Oryctolagus cuniculus: one gene and its partner. The protein of the gene in region 1 purifies or fractionates together with the protein of each later gene. This does not show direct contact. Links are inferred from orthologs where the notes say so. Each region holds a gene or a part of one and is shown on either strand. Other genes may lie near its edges.

Region 1 (3,561 bases):
CGGGGCGTCACCTCACAGAACGCGGGGGCTGCTCCTCTGCGGAGAGTGCTCCACCAGCTTCAGCCACTGACCTCTGACCCGCACTGGAAACTCCCAGGGCCCCACCAGGCCTGGGAGCGCATCCCAGTCCACCTCCAACGCCCTTCTGGGGCAGTCCTCCATGGCAACCGGGGTGCTTTCTCCGGCAGGGCCACCGGCCTCTGCCCCATACCTGAAAAGCGTGCGGCCTCCGGCTTCGCCAAAGATGACGGGCGTGTGGGGGGGCACCTGGAAGTAGCCATTGCCCTTCTGCACTCGGTTCTCCTGCTCCCCGTTGACTAGGAAGAGAGGCAGGTGCAGTCAGTACCAGAGTTAGCGCTACAGACACAGGCTCTGAACATCACACCCTGCGAGGTGCTGGAAGGCCATCAGGGTTAGAAAGGAATGTGGAAAGAAAAAAAAAATAAGAGTAAAATTCTTGAAAATGAGAAAAATGGGCAACTTGGAGGTGTCCCAGAGACAAATGACTGTCTACTGGTGGATTTTATAAAAGAAGGGACTTCCGTTTCAGAATCAAAAACGTCACCAGCTCCTGCAGCCACAACACAGCCTATTCATACACGATGATCTAGTGTTTTTTTGTAGCATATACCCAGCTCAGAAAACTTTCTTGAGAGGGACAGAAAAACTTTTATAGCATCTCCAACTCGTAACACAGGTCTTAGTGAAAAACAAAATTCTCAAAGAGGCCCTGTCACTTTTATTGTTCTCTGATTTCATTTCTACTCTGCTTTGTCATCTTTTCACCCAAGTGCACTTACCCAAGACTCCAGTCTCAACCCATTCACGCAGTCCTCCCTAACCAAGGCGGAAGCAATTTCTTTTTTTTTTTTTTTTTTTGACAGGCAGAGTGGACAGTGAGAGAGAGACAGAGAGAAAGGTCTTCCTTTGCCGTTGGTTCACCCTCCAATGGCCACCGCGGCTGGCGCGCTGCGGCCGGCGCACCGCACTGATCTGATGGCAGGAGCCAGGTACTTATCCTGGTCTCCCATGGGGTGCAGGGCCCAAGCACTTGGGCCATCCTCCACTGCACTCCCGGGCCACAGCAGAGAGCTGGCCTGGAAGAGGGGCAACCGGGACAGAATCCGGAGCCCTGACTGGGACTAGAACCCGGTGTGCCGGCGCCACAGGCGGAGGATTAGCCTAGTGAGCCGCGGCGCCGGCCGGAAGCAATTTCAATCCCGAAATCCAACAGCTCCTCTGGACCTTCTCACACAGCAGCCAACACTTCCCTCTCATCTCCAGGTGCTTTCTGCCCTACCAGAACAGCAGCCCCTGAAGAACAGGGTCCACGCCCAGTGGTCGTCAGTATCTCGCCTGCAACTTGCTAAGGGCTCTGACTACACCAGCTGCCCATCATGCACAAGCCACCTCCGGAGCACCCACTGAGCAGGGCGCAGGTGCAGATCACCAGGCGGGTGGCGCATGCACTGACTTGGGCTCTGGACAGGGATGCAGGGTCTCGTGACTTCCTCCTCACTCTCTCCACTCACAGCCTGGATCCAAGGGGCATCACTGTACCACTGTTTTTTGATTACCAAGCCCTGATTATTGATTTTGGGCCTCTGACGGCATCCTGCCTTACCGGAAATGAACTGCCTCCAGCTACACAACCGATAAGCAGCACAGCCCACACCAGAACCTGCTTCTCTTGACCCTGTGTGGAGGCCCTTCCATCCGTTTCTCTGGGTCACAGTCCTCTGTACAATTCTCTCAGGGAGGGAAGTGAGCCAGGCGATACAAAAGGAAAACCAGCAGGAAAAAGCTCAGTGCCCCATCTCGGCCAGGGACATCAGGGGACTTGTTTTCAGGAAGTCATCAGGAGAGAGTCCAGTCCACAACCACTAGGGACGACTCTGTCAGCCAGAACCACGCCCCTGCCAGGAGCTACTCGCCACGGCAGCTCACTCCTGGTGGTCAGCAGGGCACCACCAGCAGGGGAGGCCCCGAGGTGGGATGCAGCGACTCCACTGGCTTTAGGTGACCAGGGACATGTGGAGCTCTGAATCCCTTCCTCCCCCTCCTTCAGACACACACACTCCAATCCTGTCCTCTGGGGCCCAGAGAACGTGACTGCGCTGCCTGGGGCATACACGCACCTTCCCAGTGTCCTCAGTGACACTCGGCTCTGATACTTTCACTCATTGACCCGACACTTGTGAGATGGGATTCGATCTCTTGGAAATACCTGACACTGGAAGCAGGGAGATCACCGGACTAGGTAAGGCCACTATTTCAGACCGACTGCAGTATGGCCACGCCACAGCAATCCTGGCTTTCTGGTGCACCTGACTACCTAGCTGTGGGGCACACCCAGACAGCCACAGACACTCTAAGGGATACTTCTAGAGCAGGCCTGCTGAGGTGCCCAGTTTTAAGACAAAGGCTGTGCGCGTGCGCGTGCGCGTGTGTGGGGTTTATTTTGTCTGCTCTCTTGCAGTCTCAGAATCAGGTGAGATGCTATGGATGCTCTTACTTGCAGATGTAGACGGGAGGACGATGAAATGGACATGTCATACATACATATTATGTCACACGTTAGCGAACAATTTAAGTATATTTTAGTTCTAATTTTTAATTAATTAATTATGTGAACAGAAAAACACTGACCGTGGTTGACTTCATTTTCTTCTTCATCCATTGGATTCACATGAGTTCTAGGCCAATATTCTAGGAGTGCTTGGAGTAAAAGGCCTCCTAAGTTCACTGCGAAAGAAGTTGATTAGGAAAAAAATGGAAAACATAGTTTTAAATAAAAATTATAAATAAAACTAAAGTATTCTGGTGTTAAATCCTTAACCCACTCCGCTATGGGACACCTGCACTGTAAGCTTGGTTTAACCCACAAAGTGAGTCCCACCATTCCTTCAAACCAAAAGGTGCCGGCATTGTGGCATAACGGGCTAAGCCACCGCCTGCCATGCTGGTATCCCATACAGGCGCCAGCTGAGTCCTGGCTGCTCTGCGCCCAGCCCAGTTCCCTGCTAATATGCCTGGGAAAACAGCAGGAGATGGCCCACGTCCCTGGGTCCCTGCACCCACATGGGAGACCTGGATGAAGCTCCTGGCTCCTGGCTTCCACCTGGCCTAGCCCTGGAGGCCATTTGGGGAGTAAATCAGCAGATAAAAGATCTCTCTCTATATATAACTCTGTCTTCCAAATAAATACATATTTAAAAAAAAGCAAAACAAAAACCAAGAATCACATCATCTTTAAAGAGGTATTTCCACAGAAAGCCACTAAGACTGTATTTGTACACATCAGGTATGTCTACATGCTACATTCTTAGAGGAATGTGACCAGGGATCGCACAGGTGGAAGAGAAGGGATTCTCACGACTAAAAACTAAACAACTAAAAACAACACAGACCGAGCTTCCCTCTCAGAAGGGGAGGAGCGGGAAGGACGCTCAGACTCACGTTTTGGGTCTGACCCGTCAGGGCTGCTGAAGCCAGCATCTTTTGCAGAAACCCAGGCAGCAAAGCAGTCACTCTCATCCAGGGTGATCGTCAACATCTGGC
Region 2 (4,195 bases), on another chromosome or scaffold:
CTAATGTGCAGAATCCAGAGCTATGTGCCATCAGAAGTTCTGAGCTCAGCCAGTGAGGGGAGAATATGATACAAAAAGATAACATCCCACTGACTTCATGTGTAGCATCAGCACCACCACCTGGTCTGGATTAATTAAGCAGCCAAACAGAACTCCCTGTGGCCAGTGGAAACACAACCCCACCTCTCCATATTTTAGATTCCCTCCACTTAAAACCCCGCCCTACCTCCTCCCAACACTCCTTGACCTGGCATCCAAGGCCCCCCGCAGGATCTAACCCCTACCGACAACTCCAGCTTCGTATGAACCAGGGTGCACACGGACCCCAGGCAAATGTTTACTGACAAAGGGCAGTGTCGCGATCGGAGAACAGGTCCCTGACTGTCATTCAAGGAGTTCAAATTCTGACTCCACCGTTCGGTCGCCGTCTCAACAACTATCAGTTGGAGATAATGTCATGTACCTCGCAGATCTGTTACACGAGTCAAACAACGAACACAAAGCATCCGACCAACGTAAGATCAATACGCGGAAGGCAGTAACAATAAAATACACTAGGAACACATCAGCAAAAAATCCGCAGGTTACTAATTGAATACTCACAAGAAAATCAGAGCAGCAAAAGAACACTGCTGCTGGGCATTGAAATTTGCAGAAATAAGGGCTTTTGGTCTGACTAGTTCAGAAGCATTGCTTTCGGTACCAATCATTAGCTCCGGCTTCAGCCGATTCAACGTTTAGACACCTGTTCCAAAACGCACATTTTAGTTACGTCTGTCTACCTTGAAGCCCTTACCTCACTTTTTAGCAGCCGTGATATCATAGAAGATACAAAATTGGAATAGAAGGCGGGCCAGACTCAGCTCACATAAGCCCAAGAGCGGAGTCTGCGGCTCGGGTCGGTCAAGGAACGAGATGGCAGCCTGCCCGGCCCAGGGGCTCCAGCCAACGGAGGGAACAGAGTTTCAGTCGGAAAGGTATTCCTAGCTTTTGGCTGAGGGCTCACCTCACCTAATTCCGAAGCGGCTCGCTCACTCCGAGCTGTCAGAGAGCCTGGGCACCAGAAACGTCAGCTGACTTACTCTTGTTTTTATAGCCAGCAGATCCGCCACGGCAGATTCACTCACGTCTGTTCCATTTCTCTGGCACTTTGCAGAAGAATCCTCAGTCCAAGTCCCCTTTTGTTCCAGTATTCTCAGGTTTAATCATTTGAAAGGTGCAATAATGTGTATTTCTACCGTTACTGTGCATATCAGAAAGAGCGCAGGAGCCCCTCAGCGTGACGAAAGTGCTGAGGGAATACACAAACTCGGTTCCGGCTAGCCGGATGCTAGGGCGATGCCCGGGGAAGGCCGTGAGGTCACGCGCTCTTCTTAGGGCGCATGCGCCGCCGCGGGGTGGCTGGTGGTGATTGGAAGGCTGCTGGCAGCGGGGCGGAGTGCGGGATGTCTGATTTTGGGCGGGAATTGAAACCGTCGCGGCGGACGAGAAGAACCTGAGAGCCGCAGGATCTCCAGCGTTGAGAGCGACCATGGTGCGGCCTGTGAGGTGGGTGGTTTCTGACGCCCAGCCGGGGTGGGGAGAACGGTGTAGACCGCGTCGGCACCGGATGGAGGGAAAGGGCCGGGTGAGAGGGTGGAATGGGCGGTTGTTGGACCTCGCTAGTCCCCGGGAGGAGCTCCGGTTGCCCGGAGGGAGGCGTCCCCGCCGTTTGCCTCCCTTCGCAGCTGTTGCTGTTCCTTTTGCTCACCGCACCCGAACGAGGCCGTCTGCTAGCGTGTGAACAGCGCTTCCCATTTCCCCGCACGCCCGCTTGTGTGTTGTTTTCATTTGCTCCTCTCTGCGATTCTCATACAGGAGGCGTAGATCTTCCTCTCTTACCGATTGCAAACTAGCTGGGCCAATTTACCTGGGTCACACAGCTTGCAGGTGGCGCAGTGCGCAACCCTGAATCATCGGACCCCAGACCGTTGTACTGTGCTTTCCATTATATTCTTGAAAGTCTTCCTCCGCTTCGATGCACGCCAGTGCTTTTGGAAGCCCCAGTCAGCCATTCATGCAAAAGCGTTATTGAAGAGACTTGCTTTTTCTATACCATACCGGGTGCTGGAGGGGAGGTTAGGGCGCCGAAAATAAACATGGCCATGTGATGGAGTGGGAAAGAGGGAAGTAGGATGGCGAGGTCGTGCTTTCCCAGGAAGAAGACGTGTGATAGACACGAGCCAAGAGAAGGAGCTAGTCTCCTAAGAGTAGGGGGCACTCCAGGTAGAGCGACCCAGTGAGGTCACTGGGCGGTGGTTTGGCCTGGGGTGTTATTAGTCGACACAGAATGGAAGATGAAGCTGGGATATAGTCTGCTGGTGGAACTTGCTAATGAAGTGCATGAGCATGATCCCTGTGATGAAGTGGTAAAAAAGAAGTCAAGGATGACTCCCTGATATTTCTGAGCCACTGAATGGATGTCTTTTGTATTGAGTGATAGGGGAAACACCAGAAAAATGACATGTGGGGAATTAGAGACATGCTCAACTTGAAGTGGGTTTCAAGCATCCACGTAGCAAAGAGATAGTCTCTTTGTTGGGAAGAAAGATTGTTAAAGTATGTTCTGCCAGCCGTTGTCTCGACTGTTGAGGAACAGGTTTTTTTTTTTTTTTTCCTTTGTGCAAATTGTTGAACTCTTTACTTAGTATAGAATTGGTCTTCTGTGTATAAAAGTAATTGAAAATGGATCTTAGTGGAGAATGGGACTGGGAATGGGAGATGGAGGAGGAGGAGTGGTGGGAGGGCAGGTATGGTGGGAAGAATCACTATATTCCTCAAGTTGTACTTAGGAAATGCATGAAGTGTGTAGTCCTTAAATAAAAGGATTCTTTGGAAAAAAAATAAAAAAGCAGAAAACCCACAATTTACCAAATAATCCTTTAAACTTCAAGGCATTTGTGTGTCAATATCATGAAAGCTTAGATTCGCTTTCATAAAAAAAGGAAAAAATATCTGCTACCTCATGGGGTCCCTGAAACTGTCTCCAGTCTTCAAAGTGAAAGCTATTTTCCTAACAGTCCTAAGACTTTATTTGCCCTTTTCACTGTTCTGTCATTTGCACGGCAGAGATTAGAAAGCTTGCGGGCACCTCAGCCCGCGTGGAGACAGTGGCGTCAGGCTGCTCCCAGTGGTCGCGTTCTTTACTGCGAACCATTCAGAGTGGGGACAAAATCTCAGCTTCATTTAAGAATATTCTTGATAAAGCAGTAAGAGTTACTGTATTCATTGTACCTCAGCCCTTGAGTGTACTCTCTTTTTCAAATAGGCTTTCAATTTCCTTTTACTATTACTGAATCTTGGGATTTTTACGGATGGAGGTCCTATGTTTTATTCAGCTCTGAAATTCTTTAAAACTGAAGAGTAGGAGAGTAACATGAGTACACTTTTTGAAGATTGGGTATGAGGAAGTGGGCATTACACCTACATTCTACATGCTGAAATGTGGGTGCTTATCTCAAGGAAAAGCATTTGTGAATTCGAATTGTCAGTGGAATTTGTTTCTTTTTCATGGGACGTCATTTTTGCTTGAAAGAACAGCCAACTGACCAACTAGCAGTTCCACTGGGATGTTTGACAGAAAGAAGATAGAAGCCAAGACTAGAAGACCATTTGTATCATTCAGTGCTTAGAGGCACAAAGAAGGAAATGCTATTTTTTTCCTTTTGATTTTCTTCTAATGTCCTCATGTAGCTTAAAGATTCATTTCAGGTGGCAGGAACAAGGTCACTCACCATTGTTAAAGAGCCCATTGCATAAAAAACATTATTTCGTATTGTGGAGAGATCAAAAAGGATGGATTGTAGTATCAAGAAGTTTCTAACCAGGGCTGACTTGGCATTAACATAACAAGTTAAGCTCCACCTGCAATGCCAGCAAACCATGTGGGCACGGTTTGAGTCCTGGCTGCTCTGCTTTTTTTTTTTTTTTTTTTTTTTTTGACAGGCAGAGTGGACAGTGAGAGAGAGAGACAGAGAGAAAGGTCTTCCTTTGCCGTTGGTTCACCCTCCAATGGCCGCCACGGCCGGCACGCTGCGACCGGCGCACCGCGCTGATCCAATGGCAGGAGCCAGGAGCCAGGTGCTTTTCCTGGTCTCCCATGGGGTGCAGGGCCCAAGCACCTGGGCCATCCTCCACTGCACTCCCTGGCCACAGC

Evidence for each region. Proteins that work in one complex are often made in the same cells at the same time.
Region 2: the proteins of WDR48 (region 1) and RAD51AP1 purify together in Homo sapiens (affinity purification with mass spectrometry; 5 studies listed by BioGRID and IntAct, counting the BioPlex papers as one, with this or other methods). This does not show direct contact. The link is inferred for Oryctolagus cuniculus from reciprocal best matches to the Homo sapiens genes WDR48 and RAD51AP1.

Annotation. Positions count from the first base shown.
Region 1 is NC_091441.1:108,255,928-108,259,488, forward strand, and holds part of WDR48 (WD repeat-containing protein 48), read right to left. Parts: intron 3,557-3,561; coding exon 3,460-3,556; intron 2,746-3,459; coding exon 2,650-2,745; intron 318-2,649; coding exon 212-317; intron 1-211. UniProt on the Homo sapiens protein: Regulator of deubiquitinating complexes, which acts as a strong activator of USP1, USP12 and USP46. Enhances the USP1-mediated deubiquitination of FANCD2; USP1 being almost inactive by itself.
Region 2 is NC_091440.1:104,909,988-104,914,182, reverse strand, and holds the start of RAD51AP1 (RAD51-associated protein 1), read left to right. Parts: upstream 1-1,371; 5' UTR 1,372-1,531; coding exon 1,532-1,548; intron 1,549-4,195. UniProt on the Homo sapiens protein: Structure-specific DNA-binding protein involved in DNA repair by promoting RAD51-mediated homologous recombination.